4 linked regions of the Alligator mississippiensis genome follow. The protein of the gene in region 1 interacts with the protein of each later gene in a biochemical or structural test. Links are inferred from orthologs where the notes say so. Each region holds a gene or a part of one and is shown in the gene's direction. Other genes may lie near its edges. The genes, in order: PLCG1, KIT, SOS1 and LAT.

Region 1 (7,588 bases):
AGCAACAATCAAAGCAATATTCCAATGGACCCTGAGTCTTCTCTGTGCACACAAGCAAAGTCTGTCTGAATTTAAAGATGCAGGACAGAAAACAATTAAGTGTTTCAGTTGCATAGCTACGTGCAAGAGTCATCATCACTGCATAAATAAGGAAGGAAACAGAAGTTGACTCGGCTGGCACCTGCTCAAATTTGAGCAGTGGCAGCAGAGAGAATCAGGTTAGCCAAGGAGTAATGTAGGTTTTATGCAACGTGTTTTATACCAAAGCATGACCCAGGTGCTGCTGCTGATAATAATAATACTGGGTGCTATTTATCACTAGACCTGGAAGTGCTTCAAAAAGCAAGTGTCCCTGCTTGACAATGGAGAAACTGAGGGTCAGGGCAGGGAGCAGCCTCAGTAGCCCAAAAGCAAAGCTAGGAAAGGAAAGCTGGTCTCCTGAGTCTGTCCAGTACTCTAATCATTAGGCTGCACACAACTGCACTAGAGGTGTTGTCCCAGACCTCCAGGATAAAACTCAGCAGGTATTTAAGAGTTCCCAGCAATGCTGCATGAGAGCTGAGGTGTAACAAGAGCTACTGGCTGTAAGCTGACACTAGACAAGCTTAGGCTAGAAATGCTGTTCAGGGAGCCAGGAGGCCTGGATTTGATCAACTGGGGAGGCTTTCTTTGAAGATATCTTGCAGGTACTTCTAAAAGTAATAGCCTGCAAGAAATGGATTCTAGCTGTAGGCCTGCCCTGGAGAGGATATGGGTTGAAATTTTCCATGCTTAGGTTCAGCCCAAAGGCATTTATGTACTTGTATACATATTCAAGTATGTTTACACATGTTCATGCACACATGCCTTATGATGGTTTCACTGTGCAGCGCTGTCCATCTCCATTGCACTGCTTGTCCCTCTCTATAGAGAAAGCACCATCTGTTAGCTGCACACAAGTAACTGATGGAGATGGACTATACAAATATGTAATTTAAAGCATTCAGAAGATGTAAATTCAGTGCTTCTAAAGATGTCCTGTGAAACATGGAAAATGAGTTGTACATGGATGGCTTGCGGAGGAAGCTTTTATTTCAAGAGAATTTCTGCCTATATTTGATATAAGCTTAGAGATAACATGAGTGTTTAAAGCTGGTCTCGTTGGGAATTTCAGAGGCACGTCTATCTCAGCTGTTAATCAAAGAGTTGGAGGTGCTGAATATTTCAGAGAGTGCTCTCTTCCATCTGTTAGGCATTGACATTAAATAGGCATAGATGAAAACATGTTTTAAAACAGTCCAGATAAATCAGGTATCATTTCATTGGTATCTGTAATATCATAATCCTACCAGACAATTTTCTGGGTTAGCAAAGCCCTGAATGTTATGATCTAATGCATAAAAGAAAAGAAAAGGAAGGAAGGAAAAACACAACCATTAGGACTGTCATGCATAATGAAAGAAGCAAAAGGAACAAATAATTTCCCTTGAAGGTCACTCTGATTAGCTGCATCTTATCAATTTATTGCCCCCTGACTACAGTAGAAATATAGAGCTTAGTCTTGTAATAAGCACCCATGCAAATTATCCTACTGTAGAATGAGCCCACTCCTTTGAGTCATGTCTACCTGCGTGATTAAGGACTGTATGACAGTGGCTAAGTAGATGGCATCTGTCAGCTTGAGGGGTCTTGCAGTGAGAACTATGACCCATAACATCCCTGCAAGGCAGGTGCTGAGGACAGTGGACCTTGCCTCTTTCTGTGACTTCAGCACCTCACTCAGGGTTACTATGGGGAAACTCTGGTGTCCAGCTGGGCTCTGCTGCCCAGAGCCTTCTCTTGACAATGGGCACCTACAATTTGTTTGAAAAAACAGCAAGGCTTTCTCTGTCTTGCAAAAACAAGATGGGTTGTGTCCCGTCCCCTGGCCCCTGCCTTATATAATAGCCTGGTGGTTAAGGAACTTGGAAGCCAGAGGCCCAGATACTAATTCCCTGTTGAAGCTGTGCCTGAATTCCACAAAAGTCCCAATTTAGGTTCCTAAGACCTTCTTTTTGTGTCTTAGTTTTTTACATGGCCCTTTAGCTTCGTCAGCAGAGCACTCAGGGGATGGGGATCCAGGGTTCTGGTTCCTTTTCCCAGGACCGTTTCAGTATTTTTACCCAACTACTGTTTAGTGCAAACTAAAGTCCTGCTCACTCTTACACACTTCCGCTGGCCAAATTTGTCCTGCATTCCCTTCTGCAATATAAGAGCAGGGGTGGGGTGAAGAGTGTCCCCATCCAGAATGGTGCTCAGCCTGGTGATTTGGGACACGAGCAAGATGGTGGTTTGAATTCCCTCAGGCTGGGGGGTGGATTTCCACTTCTCTCTCTCACTTCCTGGCCTTAAGCACTAAGGTACTATCTAAAAAGGGAATTAGATAGGAAAAAGAGTGATGGTCATGCCTACGTTTTTGTGAGGCACTTGATCCCGTCAGTGTGTGCTAGGCAAGGTACCAGATTCCACCCCTTAGTCAAGATGGCAACAGAATGCCCTGTCCAGGGGTCCCAACCTGGCGGAGGTGTGCGCTGGGCTGAGCTGCTCAGCCGGGGACAGTTGTGGGCATGTGCAGAGGCACAGATCTAGGTGCCTGAGGAGGTTTCAGGACCAAAGGAGAGATGCCCGTGTGCACTTTAGTTGCTTCCAGGATTCGGTGGCAGCTGAGCAGGAGGCTTCAGGGTTCTGTGCTTGGACTTAATCATGTTTCAGACATCGGAGACCCTGGGTTCAGACCTTGCATAAGGTCTGTCAGGGGTCAGCCAAGTGAATATTATTTCACAGTTATGTTCATTTCACCCTCAGTCCTGCATTGAAACAGTTAGATTCTCAGCGATGCTTTTACCTGCGTCTTGAAGTTTGTACAGAGATGCTCTGTCTTTCCTGAGTACTTAACCTGTTTCCTCTGCCACTAAACCTTATCTCCTCCTGAACACGTGGCCCTTGTGGGTAACTTCATGTCACTTTAAGTAGTTGTAGACAGCACCCTGCTGCTTTTGCTGGTAAGCACTTTGTGCATTTTTAAAACAAACCGCATGTGCCTGGCTCCTGACTTCTAGCTGCAAGAGCAATTGCCTATGCAAAATGTATGTCTGACTGGGCATGAAAATGCCATGACTGGATGCACATATTAGCTCATTTTATGCATGCAACATTTCTGGATATTTGCATGTGCAATAAGCAGATTCATGTATCCACTTGTGAGCATGCAGGCCAAAGGAAGAGATTTCCTGTGGAGCAAGGAGGGAGAAATATCTGCCTGGGTCATGGAGCAGCAGTGGAGTTTCTCCTTGGTCACCTCTGCAGGCTCAGGGCTGCAAGAGTTCAAGCATGTGCTGGCATAGCCAAGCAGTTGTGATATCCCACTTGATGCACCATATTCAGGCACTGACAACACTTTTAATCAGAGCAAAAAGCCTTAAACCTAGAGGCTAATGAAATAGCCTGGCCTAATGTCCTGAAGCGATGGGGTGGGAGTAGGGGAGAAGGGAAAATGAGAGGGGGGTAGCTTTGGGAGAAAGCTAGGGGGAAACTACTCCAAATCAACTTCTTATTCATCTACTAAGCCTCCCTTAGTTTACTTTCCTGTCTGGCTGGGTGTAGCATTGCAGCACTGGCCCCATACTACCAGAATCTAACAGAGCTGGCATGAAAGGAGATGATTCTCCCCTTCCCCAGAATGAGAAAATGGAGCTTGGCATGCAAAGCCTGCTCTTTCCAGGTAGGTGTTAATGGGCATGGTGGGAGTTTTCAGCAGAGGAAAGAACAGATGGGGAGAAGGGCCTTTTGGTTAAGGCATTGGGCTGTGCTTCAGGAGAGCTGGGTTCAGTTCTTGTTCTGCCACAGATTCGCTGTCTAACCTTGGTGGAGTCGCTTAATCTTGCCATCTTTTGCTTTTCTGTTGTCAAAATGGAGACAATATCGTCTTCCTCCCTCCTCCCGTCTTCTGCGTTTCCTGAGCTGCTGGGAGCAGGGAGCGTCCTTTGTGTGTCTGGACAGCCCCTAGCACAGGGAGGCTTCAGGCTTGCCAGGACCTTTGTGTGTTACTGTCATGCTATTAATGGCTAAGAGCAACACAGGCTCTCAGCCAGTCCCCCTGGACCTATGGTAATCAGGTTTCTTCTGCCCAGCATGTCTTTATAGGTTGTAACATGACTCCTGAAGCAGTCCTCCCTGGTGAGCCATCCTGTCTGCCTTCGAAGTACGGATTTTACTTCTGTCCTAACTAAAAGCAGGCCCTGCTCCAGCTCGGGACTACTTTGTGATGACATCACCCCCCCGCGTGGCAGGATACACAGGTGGGGAGCCGCGGCGGGTGTCACAATGCGTGGGGCAGCAAGCGCTCGCCCCTGGGGCTCGAGGGGCGCGCCGGCCCTTCCCCCGGTGCGGGGCTGGGGAGCCCGCGGGGCCCCGCGCAGGGCATGGGCATGGGCATGGCCAGCCCGACCCGAGCCGTCCCGCCCGTCTCCCGCGCTCGCTTCCACCCCAGCTGCTGCTGCTGCGGGAGAGATGATTTATGAGGAGGAAGCTGCCTTGATCTGCAGCTGGAAGAGGTGGAGCCATCGGGGACTGGAGCCATGGGGCTGGCATGAGCCGCCAGCCCCGTGCCGAGGCCCGACTAATAAATCATGCTCAACCCCCGGCTCTCGGCAGCACTGCTCGCCCGAGCCCCGCCGGCGTGACGGCAGCGGAGGGGAAAGGGGACCCCCCGGTACCCGCCTTGTCCCCCGCCCCTGCAGATGCTTCGTGCCCGGGCCGCGGGGCAGCTCCGCGCGGCGGGCACACGGTAACCGCGGGTGCGGCCGGGCGGAGGAAGGGGCTGGGGGCAGCTCCTCGTCCTCGCTGGCCCCGCTTTGTGCTGAACGCCGGCTGGGGGAAGGGCGCCCCTCCGAGCCCCCGCCGTTGCAGGATGCACGAGAGCGGGGAGGCAGATCACGCCGGGTAGTTTCAAATCAGTGGGTCGAAAACATGTAGATGCATTTGGGCTGGCCCGGAGCTACAGGTCTGCCCGGGCTCCGCTCCCGCCGCACGTGCTGCGCGGGCCGGGCGCTGCCGGGGGACGGGGACGGGGGCGCGGAGCGGAGCCGGCTGCAGCGCTTCAGCCATGACTTGCAGAGCTCTCCCGAGATCTTATCGGGCTGCGATCGATGCGGGCGGGGGCGGAGGCGGAGGCGGGGGGAGCGAGGCAGGCACCGCTGGCCCCGAACAAAAGGGAGAGGTTTGCTACGAAGTCGCCTCCCTCTTTCCTCCCCCCCTTTCTCTTTGCAACCCAATCTTTCTGGAGGACCCAGTCCCGCTCCTAATCACTCAGGAATGCTTTGTGTCTGCCTGCTTTCGCTTTAGGCTCCGTCGGGAAGGAGGAGGGGGGAAAAAAAATGGTGCATGATTCAAACCAGCAGAGAGGCGATTTTTTGCTGCAGTCCTGGAGTGAAAAGTTTCGATGCGGGAGACGATCGCTCGGGCTGGGCTCCCCCCTCTAAGCCCTCGGATCTAAACACGGCTTCTTTCCCCCCTCTCGTAGGAAGGGGAAGACTCTTGTGCTGGGAGCCATGAGCTTGGATTGGTTTTATTGAAGTCTGCCAAGTTGCAGCCGGGAGCCTGAAGATCCGTGTTGCCTGGACACTTCTCTGCTTTGGGGGAAGCAGAGGAGGGAGCCATGGCGTCCGGCTTCTCCAATGGACCCTGCATGCAGAACGAAGCCGAGGTGGTTCACCTCTGCCGGAGCTTGGAAGTTGGCACTGTGATGACTTTGTTTTACTCGAAAAAATCCCAGAGACCAGAGAGGAAAACTTTCCAGGTGAAGCTAGAAACCAGACAGATCACCTGGAGCAGAGGCTCGGAGAAGATAGAAGGAGCAAGTAAGTGTGGATTTGTAACAACAGTGGGGAAGGCAACTTTTGATTAGAGCTGATTCCCCACACATCAGACTGTCCGGGTTGATGGGCAAGTTTTCTTGAGCATTGGAATCTGCCTTGCTGTGACAGCCCGGGTGTTTTGTCTAAAGGGGGAAATTTTGCAACACAGATGCAGTAATTGGCAAGTTTTTCTAAGCCGAGTAACCTTTTCTCTCTCTCTCTTAATGGCCTGAAATGTTTATCCTGTGTTGAGTGGTGTGGCAAAGGCAGAGCTGCACTAATCCTTGAATGTACATTTCAGATTGTGTGAATTTTCAATCTAGCTTGAGATCTGGGCCTCTGGCCAGTCCAGAATAACTCTTAATCGTTTTTGTGATAAACACCTTCCTTTCTTCTAGGAAGAGGCCCATCTTTGTTTCTCACCTGACCATTCATCCCATTCACCCTGGAGTTTTTTTCCCTCCACCCTCAGAAGCTCCTAAAACCTGCAAGAAAAGCCAGCCTTCCCATTCCTTGATTTAAAAACTAATCATATTTTGAGCCCATTTTTGCTTCTGTGATGGAGCTGACCTGGGTATTCATCATCTGCTTTCATGTATGTGAAGAAGAGATTGAAGTGAAGTTTTTGATTGTTGTGTTTCACAAGTGCTAATTGACAGGAGTGCATGAGCCAGAGTGGAGTCTTTGGGACTAAACTTTGGTCCTTCAGACCCTTCTGCTCTGGGGAATTCAACCCTCTTTGGTGCCTGGGTTAGCTAAGTTAAATGAGAATCACAATACTTTAATGGGTTACCTTCTAGGTATACAAGCTTACCTATTCTTCATCACCTGTTGAAGGGCACAGCTGCCTAGCTACTTAGAAATGAAGTCCACAGACAAGTTACCATCTACCTTAAAGTTGGTCATTATTTGGCTGCTTTGTTTTTTGTAGAATTCAAAGTTTAACGTAGAATTGATAGCTTTGGCCTTGAGCTCAGTAATTGCAATGAGCTCAGAAGATGAAGCAGTGGATGGCTTGAGATTATAATTTCTTAACCTATATGGCACCGAAATCAACTGTGTGGGTAGTGATTCCTCTGCTGACTTCCATTTTCCTTGAGCTTAATACCAGTTTGCAAAACAAGAAATCTTATCTATCAGATAAGTCATTAGTGACCAATTTATCAGCCTCCAGAGGCTAGACAGATGTTTTCACAGCTGGGTGGTGGGTTGATAAAATATAATCCTCTTGTAAACCATGCTCAATGCACTGAGCACCAATGTAATTATAAATATAGTTATAGCTAATTCTCTTACATTTGCACTGAATGTTTAGGGGCTATACTCTAGTGTGAAGTTGGTGCTAGAGAGAAGGTTTCCAGCCCTAGGTTCAGTTTGGGGTTCACTCTTTGTGCCTTTCTTTACACTGTTTACAATAGTTGTTTTAATTAAAAAACTGAGCATTAATATTGAATTTTAAAGGAGGGACTCTTGCCCATGTCTCCTTCATGCTTCCAAACCTGAGAATTGGTAAGGTATTTAGTTGCATCCCTGAGACCACTCTGTCTATAATTTGGTCATTATTTGATCAATTTGCTTGGCTCCAAAGTGAAAATGGGTGCTCTAGTAATTCATAAATTGGATGCTTATAAATAACTATATGCAGTTTTGTAAAGTATCTAAGAATGCTCTTGTGGTAGGATAAAATTGGAGTCTGCAATTTTTTTCCCATAGTG
Region 2 (7,031 bases), on another chromosome or scaffold:
TGTCAGGGTAGCCAGGATCTGGAACCAACTTCCTAGGGAAGTGGTCCTTGCTCCTACCTTGGGTAAATTCAAGAGGAATTTGGATGAACACCTGTCCGGGGTTGTGTGATCCCAGCATGTGCTCCAGCCAGTGGCGGGGGGGTTAGACTAGATGATCTATTCATGTCTCTTCTGACCCCTAACTACTATGAAACTATGAAACGTGTATGAAATCCAATAATGAGAACAGAGGTAGAAGAAGTAGGCACATTCATTCATCATTATTATTCCATTATACTTGGTAACTATGGGTCCAATTCCTTGACCTGCTCTTGCTCTGGCCATTTACAGCAATGCAGCAGAAACATGGAGTGTTACCATTCTGATTTGGTGGTGGCTTTATGTTTGTGTAAATGACTGTCCAAAGCATAAGGCCATGCTGAATTGGACCCTGTCTACTTGTTGCTGTTCAGGACCCAAAATAAAGTCAGTGCCCATAACTGACATAAGACTGACAATAGAAGAGGAATGGGGAGAAACCTGTCAGAATGAACCCTTGAGAACTTTTTTCTGAGATCTTTATATGATGCATTTTATACCAATTGCATCTTGAACAAATTAAGCAAGAAGTACCCAAAAGCACTATAAGAATTTCTGAAGAAACAAAGACACTCCCAAAAATATTTAAAACAAAGAAACATCTCTTAAGATTTCTTTTGTCACTTTCCAATATTAATTTTGTGAGGCTGACCCCTAGTAATAAATGTTATTTTAAGGAATGCTATTTGAGAAAAAAACTGTGTATGTACTATTAAAAAATAAAACTGCATGCTACTTTTCAGGCAAAGGAGGGAACCACCCATCAAAAGAGACTAGCTGTCTAAGATGAAAGAGAGCAGAGAAATGGTGAGAGCCATTTTAAACATTCCACACAAGACTTTCATCTAATGTTGGACCATATGGGACAATGCTATTAACCTTGGAGAAATCTGACAATGGTGAACAAAAATTAAAAAATAATATATTGCTTTCAGTAGCTTTTCTGATCTTTACTGACACACTTGAAAAAGTCTACATTTATTCTGGTTGCATCTCACTATTGAAAGTTTTGTCCTCTCTCTTGCTCTAAATCCTTATGCAAACAACAAACAAGCTTTCTTTTCCTTGACAGTTTTCTTTAACACTCTTTAATTGTGTCTTCCTATCTAGCACTGCATTCTTTCAGCTATCTGGTAGGAATTTATTCTTTGAATGCATATAGGAACTCATACGTCTAGAGTCACATGCTGTAATGTGCTTTCACCCCAGCAGTTTAAGAAAATGACTGACAACCAACAGCGTATAAAACTGGGGTCAGCAGCCTATGGCCCGCAGAACCACTGCATCTGGTTTGTAGACATGAGGGGCTTTTGCTGTGTTTTGGCATAAGGGGAGCTTCTGTGCAGGGATTTGGTGGCTGGGGGCTTTGCCTGTGCAGCAGCTGGGCAGCAAAGAGAAGCTATGGTGATGGTACTGCAGGGACAGGAGTAGTGACTGCAGCTGCAGCAGTGGCAGTGCAGGCTGGGTGGGAAGCTACCTGCTGTCAGAGCTAAGCCCCCCACTCCAAAATGTTGCCCACCCCGATATGAAAGGTAGGACATATACTATATTATCTCTGAATGATATGCAATTTCATTCTTGCTGCTAAGTATAGATTTATGTATATTTCTATGGATGCTAATTAATATATAAGCCAAAATTCCAATATTTATGAATATATAATTATATATGCAAGATGTTTACATAATTATACATTGTAATTCTTTCTCAAAAGAGTTATCTCCCTTCTTTTTTCCCCTTTCATCTTAGTCAAAAGTATTTGATTGCAAGCTATGGAATCATGGAAATCATAGAAAGGTATGCCTGGATGAGATCTGAGTTCAGCACTCCTCCCCAAGCAGGAACAAGTATATCTAGATCAACCCTGACTAATATTTGTCTAACTAGGCTCCCTCTATATGTATGTATCACACAATTACCCAGTTAATTGTACAATTTAGACTGGCTACCTGTACAAATTAACTAGCTCACCCTAAAAAAGTCCAATCAGCTATAAAGTTGTTGCTGGAAAATGTGTAATAACTTTATAGCCGGTTTGTATCCAGCTTCAGTTTGCAATTTCAGTAGCAGGGTCTGCCCCTGTGGCTAGGAGCCATATTAGCTGATGTGGCTCCCAGCCAGAGGGGTGGACCATACACAGCCAGAGCTGGGAGTCCTGCAGCTGAGGGGACTCACAGCCCCAGCAGTTCCACAGATGCCAGCATGGAGAGTCCCACAGCTGATGAGACTCTGCTGCCCAGCAGTGCTCCATAGCTTCAGACTTTGAGTCCCTGCAGACCTTGTGGTAGCTGCGGGACCCTCAGCCCCAGAAGCCATGGGACTCACACTTATGGGAGAGTGTTGCTTGCTGGTGCAGACCGGAATGGTGATCACAGGATCCCCCTGTACCAGCAGTAAGGCATGAGAGGTTCTGCTGCTAGATCCCACAAGCATGCCTCCTGCCATACATGTGTGGCATGGCAGGAGGTGCAATTATATGGATTGCTCAGCAGATACTACCATGCCTTTGCCTGAACATCTAGAGGGGCTTTCACCTATTTTACTTACAGGGACTCTGTAGTTAGCCTGTTTCACTTCTTATCTATCTTCCTAGCTAAAAGTTTTTCCATCTATGCTAAATCTCTCTTGTCGAAATTAAGCTAAAATGACCATATTTCCTGAGAATTGAAAACTATCCCTTTTTTAACAGCCTTTTACATATTTTGACTACGACTGTATTCAGTCCCCCCTCAATCTTCTCTGTTTTGATCTAAATAAACCCATTTTCTTCAGCCTTTCCATGAAAGTCACATTTGCTAAGCCTCTAATCATCCTGAGCTCCTCCCAATATGTCTACATCTGGAAGGGCAGTGTTGTGAGCTGGACACTGTACCTCAGCTGAGGCCTCAGAAGTTGGGAGTCTGACTTTATGATGTCTTACCTGGACATACTCCTATTACCGCATCCCAGAATCCTCACATCAGGTTTTATTTCTTGCAAATGAAGTAAACTGCAGCTATTGTTTTCTTTTTTCTTCCCTCCTTCCCTCAGCCCAATCCTACTCTGACCTCCCATTGCAAGGGTTGCCTGGAGAAGGGTTTCACCCAGCTGCTGTGCAGGTTTTAAGCCTTCTCTGCCCGGGAATCTGATCCCACTCCCTAGTATTTGAGGATTTGAACAACACATCCTAGGACCAACATGCTGCCTCTTGCAGTTGTGGGATCACCTCACCAGATCAGTAGTTGCTAATTCGGGAGAGCAATGATTTTGGGCAGAGGGCCACTTACTGAGTTTCGGAAAGCCATCGAGGGCCGCATGACAGGCAGCCCAGGGCAGATTAATATTAATTTTCTACATTTTTTAGGGGCCCCGCGGACCGGATAGAGTGGCTTGGCTGGCCGCATCCAGCCCCCGGGCCGTATTTTGCTCACCCCTGTGCTAACTGCACCTTGGTGGTGGGGAATGCGGCCTTTCCTCTAGCTCAGTGGTTTACAACCTTTTTTTATGTGAACCCCTTTGGAAATTGCGGACGCCTCTGACTTGTGTGGGTATTCTCATACTTATGACTGATCACAGTAATCTGTTGGGAATCCCTTAGACATAGTCAGGGGATACCCCCTCCCAGGGGTCCCTGGACCACAGATTGAGAACCACTGCTCTTCCTCAAAAGAAACGCCAATGACTGCTCCATCCAAGTAGAGCGCACATGCCCTCTTGTCTGACCAAGGGTGTTGCACTCCAGTAAAAGATACTGGATTTACCCAAAAAATCTTGTCTGCCAATGATTTGTGAAGAATTTTCCACGCCAGATCCTCCACTGCCGCCATCGGCGGTGTGGGCAAAGAGTTGCTAAACTCAATTTAAACGTGAGGTGGGGGGGAGCGCAAAGCCAGCCCGGCAGCCCCGAGACAATCCGGCAGCAGGGCGGGGTCGCGGGAGGAGGTGCGGAGGCGGGGCTGGAGCTGGAGGAGGAGGAGCAGGAGCAGGAGCAGGAGCAGGTGGTGTTTGTTGTACTCCGACAACTGCCCGTGGAGGCGCCTGTCCGTGCGGGCGCTGGGGACCCGCGGCGAGGCTGAGCGCGGGACGGGCGTTATGGAGGGCGCGCTCCCTGCCCGGGGGCTCGCACGGCTGCTGCTGCTGGTGGTGCTCCTGCTGCGCTTTCCAACAGGTGCGACCCTCACGCCGGGTCCCGGCTCGCCAGCTTGGCTGCGCTCTCGGGGAGCCTCCGCGTGGGGCGTGCAGGGAGGCAGGAGCGGGTGCGCCGCAACTTTCCCCGCTCCCAGCCCGGGGAGGGAGCCCCGGGGTCCTCGGCCCGGCCCTTGGCGCCACTGCAGGCTGGAGCGCGGCCGGCCCGGGGGGCATGAGCCAGCCGGTCGGGGGCTCCTCGGGACCAGCCTTGGCTGGGGGCGGGGGTTGTTGTGTCGCTCCCCGCGCGGCTCGTGGGCACAAAGCGCCGGTGTCCAGTGAATGATAGCGCCGGGAACAAGGAGATCAAGTGTCCCCGCGGGCCCCCCCACCCCGGCAGGGCGGAAACATCCCCCTCGGGGTGGCTGTGCTCCTTCCCGGGGCCACAAGGGCTAGGAGGGCTGGCAGAGGCCATCTAGTGCACTCCCCTGCCTGAGGCAGGACCATCCCTAGCCAGATCTTGGCTGTCACTTGTCCTGGCTCCCCGCAGCGTGTCCCCACACCAGGAGCTTGCAGGCTTGGTGATAGAGAGACACTGCTTGGCAGCTGGTCTTTTCTGGTGAAAGTGCCCCACGCTGCTGGTTTTTAAAGGAGTTGTCCTTATTCTTATGGGTTTTTTAGCCCCGTTGAGGGTGCAACCAAGAATGGTCCCAAGGGACAGCCGCTGTGCTTGCATAGGGAGGGTTGCCAGACGGGGTCCGCTCACCGTCACCGCTGCGTTGCCATCTTTTCTTTGGGTGGCTGGGTCGGGAATGGTGATGGGCTTGAAACAGTTGCACTTGGGGAGTAACAAAGGCATCGTGCTCTGGGGCCAGATGCGTGTGTAGGAGCTTGGCTTCAAAGGCCCCTCAAAGGCTGCCCACAAGTTGATCCAGCTGTAAACGGTCCCTAGTTGTTCAGGGTGAGTCGTCTGAGTCATGTGATGCTAAGTCACATCACTATCTTCTGTGGACCTGTTGGCTGTAGAAACGGTTGCGCTTTACTCCCGCTGGCCTGACGGGCTGTTTAATTTAGTTGGACTTTTATTTGTACATATATGTATGTATTGGCTTTGAGTTCTGCATTCCTCTGAGCAGTCCTGCAGATGTCACTGAGACGGCTCGTGAAGGAGAATCGGTATGAAGAAAGGTTGCAGAATCAGTCTCTTAACAGCTTAAGCATGATATCACTGCAGTCTACCTGTTGATTGCATAGGAGGTCAGACGATGACAAAATCAGTCCAAGCCACTAATAACACCTTTGCACCCATAATGTTGATCTGTTGGGCTGACATTCACCTTTCCCTCCTCAAATTCCTTAGTGAAGGAAGAGAACAGGAGGCGTTAGTGAACCAGTTTTGTCTCTGGTATAATTGTAATGATACAGACTTTTATTCTGTACCAGCAATAGCCTGCTGCATGATTTTTGCAGAAGGTTGCTTTCATTCTCAGTTTCTCCACCTATAAAAGAAAAATAATCATTTGAAGATGAGGGTGAAAGGGTCATCTACAGTCCCCTAGAGGATCACCTAGTCAAAACTTTTTTAGCTCTTTTCACTTGTAGGTCTCAAGGTGCACTGCAGTATTATGAGAGCCGGGCATTAATATTTGAGGAATTACTCCCACCTGGGAATAAATTTGGCCCACTGTTTGCACCAAAAATGGTAACGTGATTCCTTAAAAATACTTGCATTACTATTTTAGATGCATCTAAAGATGAAGGAAAGCAATGAACGGTGATGTTAAATGAAAGGTGGTGGCTCTTACTCTCAACTCCTTGGAGCAGAGGTTTTCAAATAACTATTTCAGGAACAGGGGGAGTGTAGTAGAATTTTTAGCCACAGGTTTCATATATTGGCAGTAAATAAACCTAATAAAATAACTCTGGTAGCTGCAGTAGTTGGTTTTGTATGTTTGCAAGCATTTTATTGTGGGATGAGAGATGGGGTAAGAATGGATGCATAAACATGGACTCCTGTTTTATTTCATGATAGTCTGTGATATATATTGTGATATATACTTTCAGTTAAAAGATGGATAAAACACATGTGCATATATAAAACCTGCTCAGAGTTGCACTGTGTTCCCTGAACAAATTAAGCAACAGGTCAAAGGAGCTACAAAAATGAACAAACAACTCTCTTACAAGATTTTACTCCCTCAAATTTCTTACAAGGTATATAAAAGGCAGCTATGCTTGACTTCCCTCAAGATCTCTTACCTCCAGATGCCATTTCTTGTCCCAGCCCCTTATGCAGTCTGCTGGTTGTCTCCCGTCTTCCAATTAGCCCTCCCCTTCCTCAGGAAAAGCCTGAGAAAACAGGTCTGTCTTGTGACATGCCCTAAAGGTCACCAGATCCAGGCTCTAACATAGAAAGTACAAGGTTTACTTGCACTCACCTTGAATGGCAACCTTAGATGGATTTGCTCATACCAATGAGAAATGAACAGTCTAGTGTGTAAGTCTCTCTGTAGTAAAGACATGTATCTTTGGGCAAAAGTATAATTATTTCCATATAGTCATATACACATTTACATTAGATCTAATGTAAGTAGGTCAGGCATTTGTTTCCTTAATGCCTGTCTCTATTGCAGTTAAAGAATGAATTGGTATCATGAACTATAATACAGTTTCTCTTGTCAAACTAAGCCATTTACACCTTGTCCCTTGCATCTCACTATGCTGTCACCTTTTTCTTTTCCTCCATTTTGTAGCTTGCTCTTTTTTGTGAGGTTTGTGAGGTGTTCTTGAATCTCCTCTCATTTTCTCCCTCCCTCCCTACACCTCTGGTGCATGCTCAGAAGCCTCCA
Region 3 (7,906 bases), on another chromosome or scaffold:
GAGTAAGAGATGCCCTGGGGCAAGCCTGGATCAGAACCCTAGGCCAAGCTGGTCCTAATGGGGCAATAAAAACAGCCAATACTCTAAAGCCACAGGCAGTAGACCCCACCCTATGTAGGTTTTAAAAGCTAGGCCCAGCATGTAGTATACTTTGTCTGGGCACTTACTCCTGAACTTTCTTGTTTACTTTTCAGATCTCTGGCCCTGACTCTTGGCTCATCCTGGCTGGGTTTTGGCTCCTGACTCCAGTTCTGATTCCTGGTGCACTCTGACTCCAGGTCTGTGCCTTGGCAAAGCTCTACTACAGCTCTGGCATACCCTGACCTGGCTCTGGCTTCTGATTCTGGTTCTGATTCCTGGCTTACTCTGACCTCAGCACCAGTTTCTGGTTCACCAGACATCCCTGGGAACCAAGTCCTTGGACTTCACCTGCATATAAAGTGACCCTCCCCTTCTGCCCAGACCCTGGTTACTATAAGGGACATTCTAAAACAAAATGGTATCTTTCCTTCTCTTTCTGGTGGGGCTTATGCAGATTCTTCAGTCTGGAAGCAAGCATGACTCCAGTCCCTCTGTCTCAAGGCTGGGAGGCAATAACTCAATTGGTTAGAGTGTGGTGCTAAAAATGCCAAGGTCACAGTTTTGGTCTCTGTATAGGACACAAGACTTGTCCTGACTCAGGCAGGAAGTTGACCTAGATGACCTCTTGAGGTCCTTCCAGCCCTACTTCTCTATGATATCTATGATAAGGTGCCTCAAACACCCTTTCATTAGGGGTTTGAAAGAACTAGCTGGCTCAGAGAGATACCTCTTAAGGCAGCCTGCCTCTCCTGAAAGCCTCTTCAGCAGGACTCACTAATGCAGCCTTTCCCTCCTTTCTCCATATACTGTTTCCTGCTGGTTTCTGGAGGAAGCTATTTTGCTCAAGCTGATTCTGACTCAGGCCAATTAACTTATTGCATCCTAGCACTCCTCCTGAACTTAGCATTTGTGTCGTCTTAGCATCTGTAGATCAGTACCTCTGCCAGGTGTTATACCCCATTTCAGGATTGCAAGTCCTGATATTTCATAGCCAGTGGTGACATTTATGGGCTGGAGCAGATAAAAATATCTGCAAAAACTACAGTCAGATATTGAAGGCGAGTTTACAAGGTTTGAAATGGACCCTTTTAAATTTTTTTAAGTAGGGATTGGAATTGAAAATGTTGTCGAAGTCCTGATTTAAATGTTACATTTGCCACCAACTGGGTGTTGGATCAGTGAAAAACAAATAATGGCTTTCATAACATTTTTGGTAAAAATATTAAAATTTAAGATTGAAAACACTGCAAAAATTTAGCAAATTAAAAAGTCAACGTTATTATTATGTATTTTTGGGAGGGAGCCGGGTGAAGAAGCTGAAAGTCATGTTTTGACTAAACATGTTCTTGCTTGAAACCAGGTGGCCCACTGAAAACTACTTGCCACTGCCAGTGCTTGGTGACGGACATGTTTCCTGGCAGCCTGTATATGGTAATGGCAACTGGTATCAGTCAGAGATGAATGAAGCTGTGCTGTCCTTTTGAGGCAGGTTCTAGGTCCAGCACTACCTGGATGCTGCTTTTAGTCTACAAATAAGTGTTTACTTATTTGTAAGGGACTACAAATAAGTAGGGCAAGGGAACAGTAGGACTTGTAGCCGGGATGATGGGGGTCAGGGAGGCCCCAGTGATTTTGAGGGATTATCAAAGGAGGTGCTTTACAGTAGAACCCAGACACTTCACAGGATCACATCCCTAACCTCACTGCATAGAGGATGGTTCAGAGCTAGAGCAAAAAGTTTCATGGGCCTGCTGATGTGCTCCAGCTGTGTAGAGAAGTGGTGCCCCTTGAGTAAAAGCAGCAGCAATCAGCTGAATGGCGTATCCTTTATTGGACAACCCACTGCTGTGTAAGCAAGTTGTAAACCGCCTGGATATGAATGGTCCAGGTTCTACTGTATTACCACTGGAAAAAGAAGGGGGCCAACAAAGAGCCCTGAGAGGTGTTTGCCACAGAGAGAATGGCTTTGAGAAAATATTTACCTCTATTTGGATTTCTGCTCACTGGGATTTTCATCTGGACTTGGGCTTTTGCTGCTGTTAAAATATTAGGAGCTTTGAGTCATAACATGCTACAAAATAATAATTGGTGGGTTTTTCCTCTTTGCCTGTTGGGGTCACTTGCATCATATTCTTAGCTTTCCTCAGGCATCTTGAGGTTTAGAAACTTGCAAGAATGAAAAATGAGATTCCTCATCATTCAATTCCCACAGGTGGAGCTTTAAGAAAAATGACCAAGTGTTGTGAGACACATGGGGCATGTCTACACATGGCTGTACAGAAATGTTGTTACGTTTCCATGCTTTAGTACTTCCTTTTGGAAGTACTAAAGCATGGTGCAGTAACTGCCTGCACTGCGCCATGTGTGCAACTCACACATTTTGCTGCTACATCCACATAATGGCAATCTAAAACAGGGGAGTGCACCGCTACAGCAATGTAGCTACCAATCACATGTAGACCCACATGATTGCTACCTTGTGGTAGCGTGCTGTATGGTGACATTTTTGCCCATGGTGCAATTTTAAGGTTTGGTAACAGCATGTCAGCTTCTCAACTGGTGACAATTCCTGGTGGGCAATGATGCTTGACAACTCTTGTCCACTGAAGACAGCAGGTAGTAGGTGGTCAACTTGTGCATCCTTGTTACTTGCTTGCACGTAGTGACAGATAAAGGACATTTTCACCCACTGCCTGCCATTTGAGGAGGGACATTTTGTGCCCAAAAGCCTATCTAATCTCTCTCCCAACTCTAGAGATGGTTTAAGAATAGACATCACCATACAAATCTTCCTTCTGCCATTCAATAAGCCTACAAGAAAATGGTGAATACTTGGTGAAACATTGTGGTGTGGAGGCCTTTGACACTTGTGTACAGCATGGTAGCAGAAAACTTAGCCTGGTTGAAGCGGCAATAACGTTGCCCACCCACTCCCACATTACAGGCATCAACTCAGAAACAAAGTGGTGCCCTAAGTGGCTCTTCTTGAGCATGCTGAAAATCTAGGTCTTGAGCATGGCACTGGGGTATCTGAGGTTGTCCTCAGCAACTCCATGCTAGGGTAATGCAGATGGAGTGGGTGGGTGAGACCAATCATTCTCCTGCTGCAGGGTAGATGTGCCCCAGGAGAAGGTGGAAGGCTGTCAGTTACCTGTGAGGCACTGCCATGGCTGGTGATGGTGGGTGGAAGCATGTCACAGTCAGGCACTGATAATTTGGGAGCCACTGGTGGGTGGTGACAGGAACTGTTTCCTAGCAACAGGTACCAGGGGAAGGCTGGTGGCTAGGGCCAGTGACATGAATCTCACTATTACCACCAGTCCTCAACATCTTTGCCCTCACAGTGGGAAATGGGGAAAGGCTGTTACCCCATTGTGCACATCAGACTGGGCGATTTTTCACCAGTGGACCTCCATGCCCTTCAAGGCAGCGTAGCAGCACCATGCCCATGGGACAGATAGGTAAAGGGAGAGACAGGATAGATGAGGCTCAGGACAGTGAACCTGCTGGCTCAAGATCACCCACTGTCCTCAGCCCTAGTTTGGCCTGACATCCCAGGAGAAGAGTGGGCCCACCCTGTGTGCTTGCTGGCCAGCTGCTTCAGGAGGGCTAGCCCCCTGTCTGGGGACATGGCCTGTGCTGAGGTGGACTCCCAGGCTCCCTGCCCTGGGCTGCTGCCCCTGCAGCTGGGAGCTGCTGTGCGTGGGCTTAGTGCTGGGCCCGTGAGAATGAGTGCTGTCAGCATTGCCAGGTCTTAACCATGAAATTATAGTATTGGAAGCTCAAAATTATTGTATTTGCTGAAAAACTACTGAAGACTGAAAAGATAACTGTGCAAATAAATCTTTTTCTTATTTACTTTACATTGCTCGCTAGAAACCAGCAGTGAGTGAGAGAGAACTGGGTCATCCAAGTGGAAGCATTTCTTTATTTTGAGGCAAACCATCATAAGAAAGCACTGACAGCAAACCAAAGTCAGCTGACTCCCTGAAAGTGATGTGGTTTTTGCATAAGCTGCATCAATGAGCTGTCTCAAAAACTTTTCTACACTTTGAACATGTTTAGCATTGGTGCTTTCAGGGGTGTAGGTTGTAGCCCTGTTGGTCTAAGGCAGGGGCAGGCAATTTGGGCAGAGGGGTGCTTACTGAGTTTTGGCAAGTCATTGAGGGCCGCATGACAGGCAGATAAATATTAATTTTTAAAAACATTTTAGGGGACCTGCAGGCGGGACAGAATGGGCTGGCAGGCCATATTTTGCCCACCCGTGGTCTAAGGGCATAGGTAGACAAGGTTCATTATTGCTTAGGCATTATTAATCAATCAATGTATTACTACCATCAATCAATTAAATATCATTAATCTTATTAATCAATGTATTCATATTGTTAACCAATTAATATTAATCGTATTATTACTGTCAGTCAAATTATTAATATTATTAATCAAATCATTCATTAATAATTAATTAATAATTAGTCATTATTGGTCAGGCATCGAACGAAGGCGGAAGCTATGGTACAAGCGCGGTAGCCAATACACTGCGCGCTGTGCAGGGCGGGGAGGGCAGGCCTCGCGCCAGCGCCCGCCACGGCTGTCCCTGTGGGCTCCTCCCTGCCGCAGGGGGCGCTGCGGAGCCCCCTCCGCCGATCGCCCAGCGAGGCGTTCGGCGCTCGGCTGAGCTGGCCTGGCCACTCGCTTCCCTTTGACGTCCGCATCTGACCTGGCGGCTGTTGGGCGCACAGGCACGGCGCATGCGCCCTGGGGGAGGGAGGGGGTTCAGTGTCGCCCTGCCGCGCATGCGCCCTGCGGAGTAACCGTCCGGGCACGGGAAGAGCCCCCGGAGCTGCAGCCGTGCTCGGGTCCCGGCACAAGCCCCGCCCCCCGCGCCGGTCCCGCGCCCCGCGCTGCGCCCCCGGGCCGGGCCCGGCCATGCCAGCGCGGCCGGCGGGGTAGGGCGGCGGGTGCTGAGGCCAGGCCGGGGCCGCGGGGGGATGCCGCCGCCGCCGCCCGGCGCCCAGAGCGGCCGCCGCCGGGAGCCGCTGGCCCCGCGCTGAGCCCGCCCCGCCCCCCCGGCCCGGCGGCAGGATGCAGGTGCCGCCGCTGTTCCACGAGCTGTGCAGCGAGGACAGCGCGCCCAAGTGGCGGGGGCTGCTCGTGCCCGCGCTCAAGAAGGTGAGCGGCGACCGGGGTCTTCGGGCCGCACTCCCCATGGCGGGGCGGGCTCCACAGGTGCGGGGCAGGGCCCCGTGTGTGTGTGTGTGTGTGCGCGGGGCGTGTTGTGTGTGGCGCACAAGCACAGAGAGACACGTGCACAGACACCCGCCCCCCGCCCACCCCAGCGTCTCGGAGGAGCTGCCAGGGACCCGTGGCAGAGCCCCAGGCTTGCACACAGCGTGGTTTGCGAAACACTGGTGGCTAAGGTACAAGCCTGTCCTGCAGAAGCTTCTGCTTCAGTGAGAGGTGCCTGCCCACAAACTCTGGTTTCATTTGGCCTCTTTTTAGAGCGGCGGTTCCCAGCCCCGGGTTGCGACCCAAATTAGTGTCGCGGGGGCAATGCCGGCAGCGCTGCACACAAAACATGAGCCGCGCCGCATGTCAGGAGCTCCCCCAGGCTGCTAACGCCGCAGTCTGCTCCCAGCAGCGGGTTGCAGATAAAAAAGGTTGGGCACCACTGTTTTAGAGCTTTGTTTTGCGAAGAAACCTGAATCGAGGGCAGGAGAGTAAGTCTCACTTGCTCCTGATACTGGCATTGGTGTGGGGGAAATGGGTCAGGGCTGCTCACTTCTGACTTCTGCCTGTAGCAAATAAGAACGAGGCTTTCCAGAAACTGTTTTCTGAAGTGGTTTTATATCCAACACTTAATCAACACCTTGCACTCAACATGTAGCAGCCATTGATGCTGGTATACTGATTGTACCAGTGGATGCAAACTTCCTTAATGTGGCTGAACTGGGGGCACTCCACAGCATGGACTGGGTATCCCAAGTATTTCAACTGCATTGATTCAGCTCACCTTCCCAATTTTCTCTTGCAATGCATTGTTTCATGTTTCACAGCATGTTCATCCAAGGACTCTGTGCGTTTGTATCAAGGAGCAGGTCTTTCCTGACCCCAGCACTTGCTGGTACAGTAAGTGATCATTACCTGTTTCTGAGAAAAAAATAACTTTTGGGTTAACTACCCAAATCCCTGAGGCTTTCAATGCCTTGGGATGCTCAAGCATCAAGGTAACTGAAGCCTGCTTGTGAGTTGCAGGCCAGTTGCAGCTTGCGGATTTGGCTCACTGTTCTGTGCTGTGCTCAGGGTTTGCTGTGCTGGGAACTCAACACAGGGCTAAGTAGTCTGGGAATAGAACAGGTTTTGATTAGAGGTGCACCAGTATATCGGTCCATGTTGTATCAGCACCAACAAAAGGAAAATTGACATTAATGGCAATCGACTTTCTTTGTGTGATGTGGTCAATAATGTCTCCGATAAATGGCGCATGCATGGGCACAGCAGTAGCATGCACACGGCCAGCCTGACAGCTTGGAGAGTAGTGTCTGGCTGGTAAGTCTGTTGGGGGGTGGGGAAGAGGTATGCGGGGGAGCTTATCAAGGCCCCCACAGCGAGGGAGGGTGTGGGGCTGGGGCAGGGGCAGCATGCACCCCAGGGAAAGGCACGGGGGGCACGTGCCCCACAGATGTGTGTGTGGGGCGAGGGCGGGCTGCCTGCTGCGGTCTGGGGTTGAGCCAGGCTCTTCCCAGCGGTGGGGTTGGGCTGGAGTTGCACTTGGGGTGGGGGGTGGTGCTGAAATGGGGGGGCTACAGGGTGGACTGCAGGCCACCCCAAAATTTGCTGCAGCCCCTCCTCCCAGGGCTGCCACCACCATTTGTCCCAAGCGCAGCCCCAACCCAGCACCCCTGCTAGGAAGAGCCTGGAGCTTCCTCCAGCCCACAGCAGCAGCCCACTATCACCACGCGCACAGATCCAGGGGGCACACACTCCCATGCCTCCTTCGGGCACGTGTGCTGTGGCATGAGCAGCCCGGCCCCTGCCACACCCGCCCCTGCCATACCCTCCAGATGAGCCGCGCACAGCTCTGTCCTGTGCCTTGTCCTGGCTGGACAGCCCCTGCCCAGCCCCATTCCCACTCCCTCCCCCACTGCAGGGGTCCTCAATATGTCCCCCATACCCCTTCCCACCAACAGACTTACTAGTCATATGCTGCTGTCCAAGCTGCTGGGTTGCATATCGGCAGTCGCATCCGTATCAGCTGATGTGGCTCGTTAATAATTAGCCATTGGTATTGACCCAAAAAATCTTTATCGGAGCACCCCTAGTTTTGATAGTATGAACCAGAATAAAACTGCTCTTTGAAATTGCATACATCAATTGCAGAATCTGTGAAGTTGTTAATTTCTGTCCTGGTGGGCAAGTCACTTAAGGCATCTTTATACCTGCTCTGGGGGTTGGTGTGGAGGGAGAGGGCTTTAATTGAAGCACCCACCGTGTCTCATGTATTCAGCGCAGGTGCTTCAAAATGGTGGTGGGGGTGGTGCTTTAAGTAAAGCTTGTTTGATGAGCTTTAGTTAAAGTACCGCCGCCACTATTTTGAAGTGCAGGGGTGCCGAATACATGAGATGCCGAGGCTGCTGGAGCGTGGTAATTAGCATGCTCCAGCAGACTCCATTAATCGAGTTTGCTCTGACGTGCTGTAATTGCAGCGTGTCAGAGCAGGCGTCCTGCACATCTACAAGCACCCTTAGTGAGCTGACTCGGAATGTCACTGCTCGCTGAAGAACTTGATGAAAATGGGCATGTTCAGGACCAAGAGAAGAGTAAC
Region 4 (6,932 bases), on another chromosome or scaffold:
GGGCTGCGCCCCTCCCGCGCCCGCTCACACCCCCGCGCCCCGCAGTGTTCATCAGCAGCTACATGGTGCTGGCGCCGTTGTTCGGGTTCCTGGGGGACCGCAGCTCCCGCCGCCTCCTGCTCTGCGTGGGCATCGCCCTCTGGTCGACTGTCACCCTTGCCAGCAGCTTTGTGCCCCGGCAGGTTGGTGCAGGGGGGCACCCGCTTTCGGGGAGTACGGGTGGGATGTACCCCCCAGCACTGACTGTGCCCGCCCCTGCGTCTTCCCAGCACTTCTGGCTGCTGCTGCTGACACGGGGGCTGGTGGGGGTGGGGGAGGCAAGCTACTCCACCGTGGCCCCCACCATCATCGCCGACCTCTTCGTGGGCGACCGCCGCAGCCGCATGCTCGGGTTCTTCTACTTCGCCATCCCTGTGGGCAGGTCAGGCAGGGGCCTGGCTGGGACAGGGTGGGGGCGGGGGCACCGTGGGGCTGTCACTGACCCCCCCTGCCTCCTTCCACTGCAGCGGCCTAGGCTACATGGCAGGCTCCAAGGTGAAGGATGTCATGCACGACTGGCACTGGGCGCTTAGGGTGAGCTGGGGCGGTGCGGAGGCAGCGTTGTACCCTCTCCCCCTGGCATGAAGCAAGGGTGGGGCAGCCCTAGGGGTGAGATTTATGCTGCAGGGGGTGGGGCCTGGGTGTTAGGAGCAGGGCCTAAGACTAGTGGGAGGAGCAAAGGCCCATCAGGGCAGGGTAGGCGGGGCCTCAGGCCTGACCCCACCCCCTCCCTCCCACAGGTGACCCCTGGGCTGGGAGTGGTGGCAGTGGTGCTGCTGCTGCTGGTGATGAAGGAGCCGCCACGGGGGGCCGTGGAGCGCCACGGCCCCCCCTCCCCACTCCACTACACCTCCTGGTGTGACGACGTGCGAGCCCTGGCACGCAAGTGAGTGTGTGGCTGGGGGAGGGCCCGGGGTGGTGGGGGCTGGAGCTGGGTCTTACTACCCCCGTGTGTTTCAGCCGGAGCTTCGTGCTGTCCTCGCTGGGCTTCACGGCTGTGGCCTTCGTGACAGGGGCCCTGGCGCTCTGGGCCCCAGCCTTCCTGCAGCGTGCCCGGCTGGCTGCCGGCGCACCGCCCGCTGACGACAGGTCAGGCACTGACCCCTGGTGTGTGTGCGAGGAGCCTGGGCTGTGGTCTGTGCTTTCCTGGCACATGTGCAGCGCTTGGTTTGTGTGCTGGTGTGTGGGAGATGTTTGAGCTTTGACCTCTGACTTTTAACTCTGTGTGTGACGTGTGTCCTGTGACCTCCGGCCTGCCTGTGAGCTGCCTGATCTCTGATGTTGGCCCCTTTGCATGTGTGCAAGGTGCCCAACGCGTGATCTTGTTTTTTGCCATGTGTGAAGAGCCTTTGTCGTGCATGTAAAGTTCATGAACTTTGATCTTTGATGTCTGTGCGAGGTGCTTGGTTTCTGACCCATGGCACCTTTACAGTGCCAGAGCTTAAACCCGTGACCCCTGGCTGTGTGTGTGTGTGTGTGTGTGTGTGTGTGAGTGTGAGATGCTTGTTATGTGCCTCTGGGCCCGACGCCCCCTGACCCATGCCCTGTGCCTGCAGCCTAGTGTTCGGGGCAGTGACCTGCGTGACGGGGGTGCTGGGCGTGGGGGCAGGCGTGGAGCTGTCACGTCGGCTGCGGCTCCGCTCTTCCCGCGCCGACCCCCTGGTGTGTGCCATTGGGCTGCTAGGCGCTGCACCCTGCCTCTTCCTGGCTGTGGCCCTGGCCCGTGCCAGCATCCCTGTCACTTACGTGAGTCGGGGCCGCCGGGCTGGTGTGGGAGTACAGGGAGGGTGGGCCAGGGCCCGGCCGGGTGTTGGGGGCTGTGCCCAGGGTCACAGGTTCACCACCCCTTGCTGCCTAGGTGTTCATCTTCATTGGGGAGACGCTGCTGTCCCTGAACTGGGCCCTCGTTGCTGACATCCTCCTGGTGAGTGGGGGCTGAGGGGGACCCAGGTGCCTGGGCTGAGGGGAGGGGTAGCACCAGGTGGAACCCAGGCATCTGGGACCTCAACACCCCCCACCCTCCCTTCTAAACCAGCAAACTCGGGAGAGAACCCAGGCGTCCGGCCACCCAGTGCCTGATTCCCCCTGGCTGGGCTGTGGTGGGGGCGAGGGGTCAGATCCCAGGGCTGCCCCCGACCTCTAACCTGTGGTCTGACCCTGGCAGTATGTGGTGGTGCCAACGCGGCGGTCGACGGCCGAGGCACTGCAGATCGTCATGTCCCACCTGCTGGGAGATGCTGGGAGCCCCTACCTCGTCGGGGTGGTGAGATACCACCCCCCCCCCCCAACATGGGGGCCAGGCAGGGAGCCTGGATGCCTGGGTTTCCTGGGAGGGGAGTGAGGGCTAGGGGCTGGGCATGGGGGGCCGGGACACCTGGGATCCGTGGGCAGGGCGTGAGGGCTGGGAACCAGGATGCTGCTGTTCCCTGCGGGTGCCCAGATGCCTGGTCCCAGCCGTGTGCCCCCCACAGATGAGTGACGCGGTGCGCCGGCACCGGCCCCCCACCCCACTGTGGGCCTTCCGCAGCCTGGGCTATGCGCTGACGCTCTGTGCCTTCGTGGGAGCCCTCGGAGGCGGCTTCTTCCTCGCCACCGCCCTCGTGCTGCCTGCTGACCGGCGCCGTGCCCACCTGCAGGCACAGGGTGAGTCTGCCCCACTGTCCCCCGGCCCAGTACGGCCCCCATGACCAACAGACCCCAGCACAGCACAGCCATCAGATCTTTCCAGACTCGAGCACGGCCCTCGGGCCAACGCAGGCCCCTAAGACCTAGCACAGTCTCTGAGCCTCTCCTAGATGCCAGCATGACTCCCAGACCAACATGGCCCCCACGACCCTCTGAGCCCCAGCACGGCCCTGTGGACCCTCACAGCCCTCCGCAGGCTCAGCACAGCCCCAGTGTAGCACCCTGAGACCACCCCCAGCCCTGCTCGGAGCTGCCGGGATGGTCCGGGGACGCAGGCGTTGGGCTTCCCACTCCCCTGGCTTGCACCTACCGGAGGGAACGCAGGCGTCCGGGCTCCCAGCCCCGACCCATTTGCTCCCAGGTGTCTGGGCCTCTAGTGTCTCTGCTTCCACCTGCCCTGGGGCTCTTACTTGCTCACTTGTTTGCACCCTAGGCTGGGTGTGGGACAAAGAGCCCAGACATCTGGCTCCTCTCTGCCCCCACCCGCTATTAACCTTTCTCTGCCTCTCTCCCCACTGCAGGGCTGCTGGCGGAGGCTGGGGGGAGCCCCGGAGCAGCGTCCGAGCGCATTGTAGTGCCGCGGGGGGGGCGCGCAGCCCAGCTGCCTGTCTCCAGCGTCCTCATTTGAGCCCCTCAGACCCCGGAGCTGCGCCCGGGGCACAGGGACCAGAGCGCCCCCAGAGCCATGCAAGGGCGGGACACAACCGTAGCCACGCAGCCGGGATGGAAGCTGCCCCCCCCGCGCAGAAGGGACAGGAGAGAGTGGCTGTTCCCTGCGCCCATGGCCGCAAATGGATGGACAGATGGATGGACGGACAAGGGGTTTTACCCCTGCAGGGCCAGACTGGGGCGTGACCAGTGCCAGCCCCCAGCCAGCACAGCCTGCCCCGCCGGGGGATTGGGGTGCCAGGCTTCCCTGCAGTGGTGGCGGGGCTCAGGCTGTGCCTTCCCAGGTGGGGGGGGTCTAGTTGCCCTATTGCAGTGTGGGAAGCCATCCCCATACCGCTGTCTTTGCACCTCATTAAAGGCTTCCTAATGGGTCCCAGGTGTGGTCTGTGTTGGGGGCCTGGGAGCCCGGACGCCTGGCTTCTCTGGGCAGGGGTGTGCGTGCCCCCGCCTGCAGTGAACAACTTCCTGCCCAGCCTCAGTCTCCCGCCGCAGCTTCCTGTGCTGCGGGGGAGGGGCAGGATGGGGGGCGGGGGGAGGGGAGTGGGGGGGGCAGGCAGAGCCTCGCGGCAGCCAGGCTGCACTGACGGAGCCACCGCGCCGGCCCCAGGTAGGTCCCAGGGCGGGGGGACCCTGAAACCATGGCCCTTCAGGCCGGCCCAGTGGGCAGGAAGCCAGTGGTGGCGTATGTCCTGCCCCCACGCTGGCTGGACGTGCGGATGTGGCCACGTGCCTCAGGGCGAGGGCGTGGGGGCGGGGACAGCCCCCGGACACCTGGGCTCCTAACCATTTTGGGGGGTGTCCCTGCCCCATGGTCGTGCCCCTCACTCCTGACCTGCAACCCCCTTTGTTGCTCCAACATGCTCCTCACGTGCACCCCCCCCATTTTCCCCCTGGTGGTGTCCCTCCCCATGCACGAGCCCGCTGTGTGCCACAGCAGTGCCCCTCACTCCTGCCCCACAGCACCCCGTCCGACCCACGGCCCCCTCTCATTGCCCCGTGGCGGCGCCCCTCGCTCCTGGTCTGCAGCCCCACCCCGTCACCTCCTCCGGCAGTTCCCTGCCTGACTCCTCTCCCCGTCGCTCCCTGGCAGTGCCCCTCTTGCCCCCTCTTGCCACGGTGCCCCTCACTCCTGACTGGCAGCACCCCTGTCAGCCCAGGGCGGTGCCCCTCACTCTGCACCCGCGCCGCCCCGTCCCCTTGGCCGCATCCCCAGTGCGGTTTGTGGTCGTTACCCTTGGCTGCTCAGCTGGATCGGGCGGGCTGGGGCGCCTGGGTTCTGGGGGGAGCAGGGCGCCCCGAGGGGCTTGTCAGCCTGCGCGCCAGTACTGTGCCCCCCCTCCATTTCCCCAGCTCAGCCGGGCTGGGCTGGGCCCCGCGGGGGGAAGGGCTGCAGCTGCTTTGCTGCGCCCGGGTCCCGCGTGCAAACCGCAGCGCTGAGACGGAGCCGAGACGCCCACAGCACCTGCCCCCCCACGAGTCAGTGCCGCACTCCTCCCCTGCTGGAGAACCCAGCTCTCAGCCCACCCCCGGTCCTGGTCCCACCTTACGAGGCCTGGTGCCTGGCTCCTACGAGCTTTAATCTCCTGGGGCGGTAAGAGCCCAGGGGTCTGAGCGCCAACCCTGCCCCTTCCTGAGCCAGCAAAGCTGGAGGAGACCCCAGGCGGCCGGGCGCCCCAGGCCTCCACGTTTGAACCTAAAAGGCCTGGAGGAGAACCCAGGTGCTACTTGCTGTCACCCACCGGGCCCCCAACCTCCCCTCCTCTGAGCCAGCTCCGGCCCCGTGTACAGCGGCCTGCCGGGCCTGCTCTCCTGGTGCTGGGGAGACCCCAGGCATCTGGGCTTCCCTGCCAGGTTGCTCCCCTCCCGGTCTTCGGTGGCACTCAGGCATCTGGGTGGCACCTACGTGGCCTGCCTGGGGAAGAGCCCAGGCCACCATGTGCTTTAACCCACCTGGCCTGGGAGTGAACCCGAGCATCCGGGCTCCCAACCCCCCCCACCCCCGTTTGAAGCCAGCAAACGCGGAAGTGAATCCAGGCGTCCGGGCCTTGTACTGGGTCGAACCCAGGCGCCCGGGCCCCCTGCTCGAACCCCTCGGACCCTGATCCCCTTCCTGGAGCAGGTAGAGACCCCAGGCGGCCCGGCTCTTCTGCTCTAAGCCCCTGGACCCTACTCCCCTTCCCGGAGCGTGGGGAACCCACGCGTCCGAGCCCCGCGCTCTCAGGGCTGGGTGGGCCCCAGGCTCCCCCGCCCCCGCTGTATGGCACTGGATCCCCGGTTGCACATGGAGAGCCCAGGTGTCCGGGTGCGGCAGGGGGTCCCTGACACCTGGTCCCCACCGTGCAGGAGGATGGAGCCGGCGTTGCTGGCGCTCGGGGTCCTGGCGCTGCTGCCCCCTGTGGCTGCCCTGCTCTGCGCCCACTGTCCGCGGCGGTCCCCACGTGGTGAGTGCCTGACCCCCCCGCGGCTCCCACCCCGAGCTGGGCGCAGAACCCCGGCATCCATTGTGCTAGGCAGAGGACCCAGGTGTGCGGGCTCTCCTTCTCTGAGGCTGGGTGGAGGGGCCCCCAGGCTGCCCTGAACGCCACCCCCAATTTCCCCTCCCCTCAGGTCCAGAGGCCATTGGTGACTACGAGTACAAGTGAGTCTGTCTGTCCACATCTGACTGTGCAGGTTTAGGGGGGTGGGGGGCTGTACTGGGGGGGGTCTTACGGTGTCTCCCCCTCCCTGCAGGCCCCCAGCCCCCTGCGCCCCCCAGAACAGCTTCATCCTGCTGAGCCGCAGCAGCTGTGAGTAACGCTCAGCCCCTGCTCCCCCCCCCCACTCCCCAGACACCTCTCCTCACCCCTTGCCCCCCCCCCAGGTGCCCCCCGCAACCAGATCCGCCAGCAGCCCGTCACCCCCACGGAGCAGTTCCTCTCCATCCCGTAAGTGGCCTTGAGTGCCGCCCCCCCCCAACCTGCCAGCGGGCCCTCCACGGGGCTGCCCACCTCCCTCCTGCTTCGGGGGTTGACCCCTCGAGGGTCCCCAGGCTGGGGCGGGGGTGCTGTGGCCTTTGGGGGCCCTGTGCTCTGTGCATCACCGGCCCCTCCTGCCCCCCAGGCGCTCGCCTCAGGCCCCTCCAAGCCGCACGGCGTCAGTGGCCCGACCTGAACCCGACAATGGTGAGTGCCGCTCCCCCCCACTGGGTCACCTGGGCCAGAGAGGCGGACAGGGTGCAGGGATGGGAGCTAACCCCAGGGGAAGGGGCCGGATAGATGGACACGGGGAGGCAGGTAACTGGAGCTGCCCTGGGGTTGAGGGCTGGACAGATGGACGTGGGCAGGGGCACAACTGGGCTCACCCTGGGATGGAGGAGCAGACAGGCGGGTAGGGGGATAATTGGAGTTGCCCCGCGGTACGGGGTGGGACAGACGAATGTGGCGGGGTGGCGGCACAACTGGGTTCACCCTGGGATGAAGGAGCAGAGAGGCGGATGTGGGCACCCCTGACCGCCTGCCTCTGCTCCCCTCCAGACAGTGTGCCCAGCTACGAGAATGAGG

The links.
Region 2: the proteins of PLCG1 (region 1) and KIT form a complex in vitro, tested with the Homo sapiens proteins (3 studies listed by BioGRID and IntAct, with this or other methods). The link is inferred for Alligator mississippiensis from reciprocal best matches to the Homo sapiens genes PLCG1 and KIT.
Region 3: the proteins of PLCG1 (region 1) and SOS1 form a complex in vitro, tested with the Homo sapiens proteins (2 studies listed by BioGRID and IntAct, with this or other methods). The link is inferred for Alligator mississippiensis from reciprocal best matches to the Homo sapiens genes PLCG1 and SOS1.
Region 4: the proteins of PLCG1 (region 1) and LAT form a complex in vitro, tested with the Homo sapiens proteins (2 studies listed by BioGRID and IntAct, with this or other methods). The link is inferred for Alligator mississippiensis from reciprocal best matches to the Homo sapiens genes PLCG1 and LAT.

What each region holds. Positions count from the first base shown.
Region 1 is NC_081832.1:17,809,604-17,817,191, reverse strand, and holds the start of PLCG1 (1-phosphatidylinositol 4,5-bisphosphate phosphodiesterase gamma-1), read left to right. Parts: upstream 1-4,583; 5' UTR 4,584-4,804; intron 4,805-5,250; exon of another isoform or gene 5,251-5,539; 5' UTR 5,540-5,674; coding exon 5,675-5,876; intron 5,877-7,588. UniProt on the Homo sapiens protein: Mediates the production of the second messenger molecules diacylglycerol (DAG) and inositol 1,4,5-trisphosphate (IP3). Plays an important role in the regulation of intracellular signaling cascades.
Region 2 is NC_081825.1:59,920,782-59,927,812, forward strand, and holds the start of KIT (mast/stem cell growth factor receptor Kit), read left to right. Parts: upstream 1-4,013; 5' UTR 4,014-4,149; coding exon 4,150-4,225; intron 4,226-7,031. UniProt on the Homo sapiens protein: Tyrosine-protein kinase that acts as a cell-surface receptor for the cytokine KITLG/SCF and plays an essential role in the regulation of cell survival and proliferation, hematopoiesis, stem cell maintenance, gametogenesis, mast cell development, migration and function, and in melanogenesis.
Region 3 is NC_081824.1:236,139,487-236,147,392, forward strand, and holds the start of SOS1 (son of sevenless homolog 1), read left to right. Parts: upstream 1-4,903; 5' UTR 4,904-5,166; coding exon 5,167-5,253; intron 5,254-7,906.
Region 4 is NC_081830.1:220,755-227,686, reverse strand, and holds the start of LAT (linker for activation of T-cells family member 1), read left to right. Parts: upstream 1-3,920; 5' UTR 3,921-4,000; intron 4,001-5,736; 5' UTR 5,737-5,740; coding exon 5,741-5,834; intron 5,835-6,000; coding exon 6,001-6,031; intron 6,032-6,123; coding exon 6,124-6,179; intron 6,180-6,253; coding exon 6,254-6,317; intron 6,318-6,492; coding exon 6,493-6,554; intron 6,555-6,905; coding exon 6,906-6,932. Other genes in the region: SPNS1 (protein spinster homolog 1), read left to right, coding at 46-182, 270-421, 507-573, 780-925, 1,000-1,128, 1,596-1,785, 1,898-1,963, 2,204-2,302 and 2 more. UniProt on the Homo sapiens protein: Required for TCR (T-cell antigen receptor)- and pre-TCR-mediated signaling, both in mature T-cells and during their development.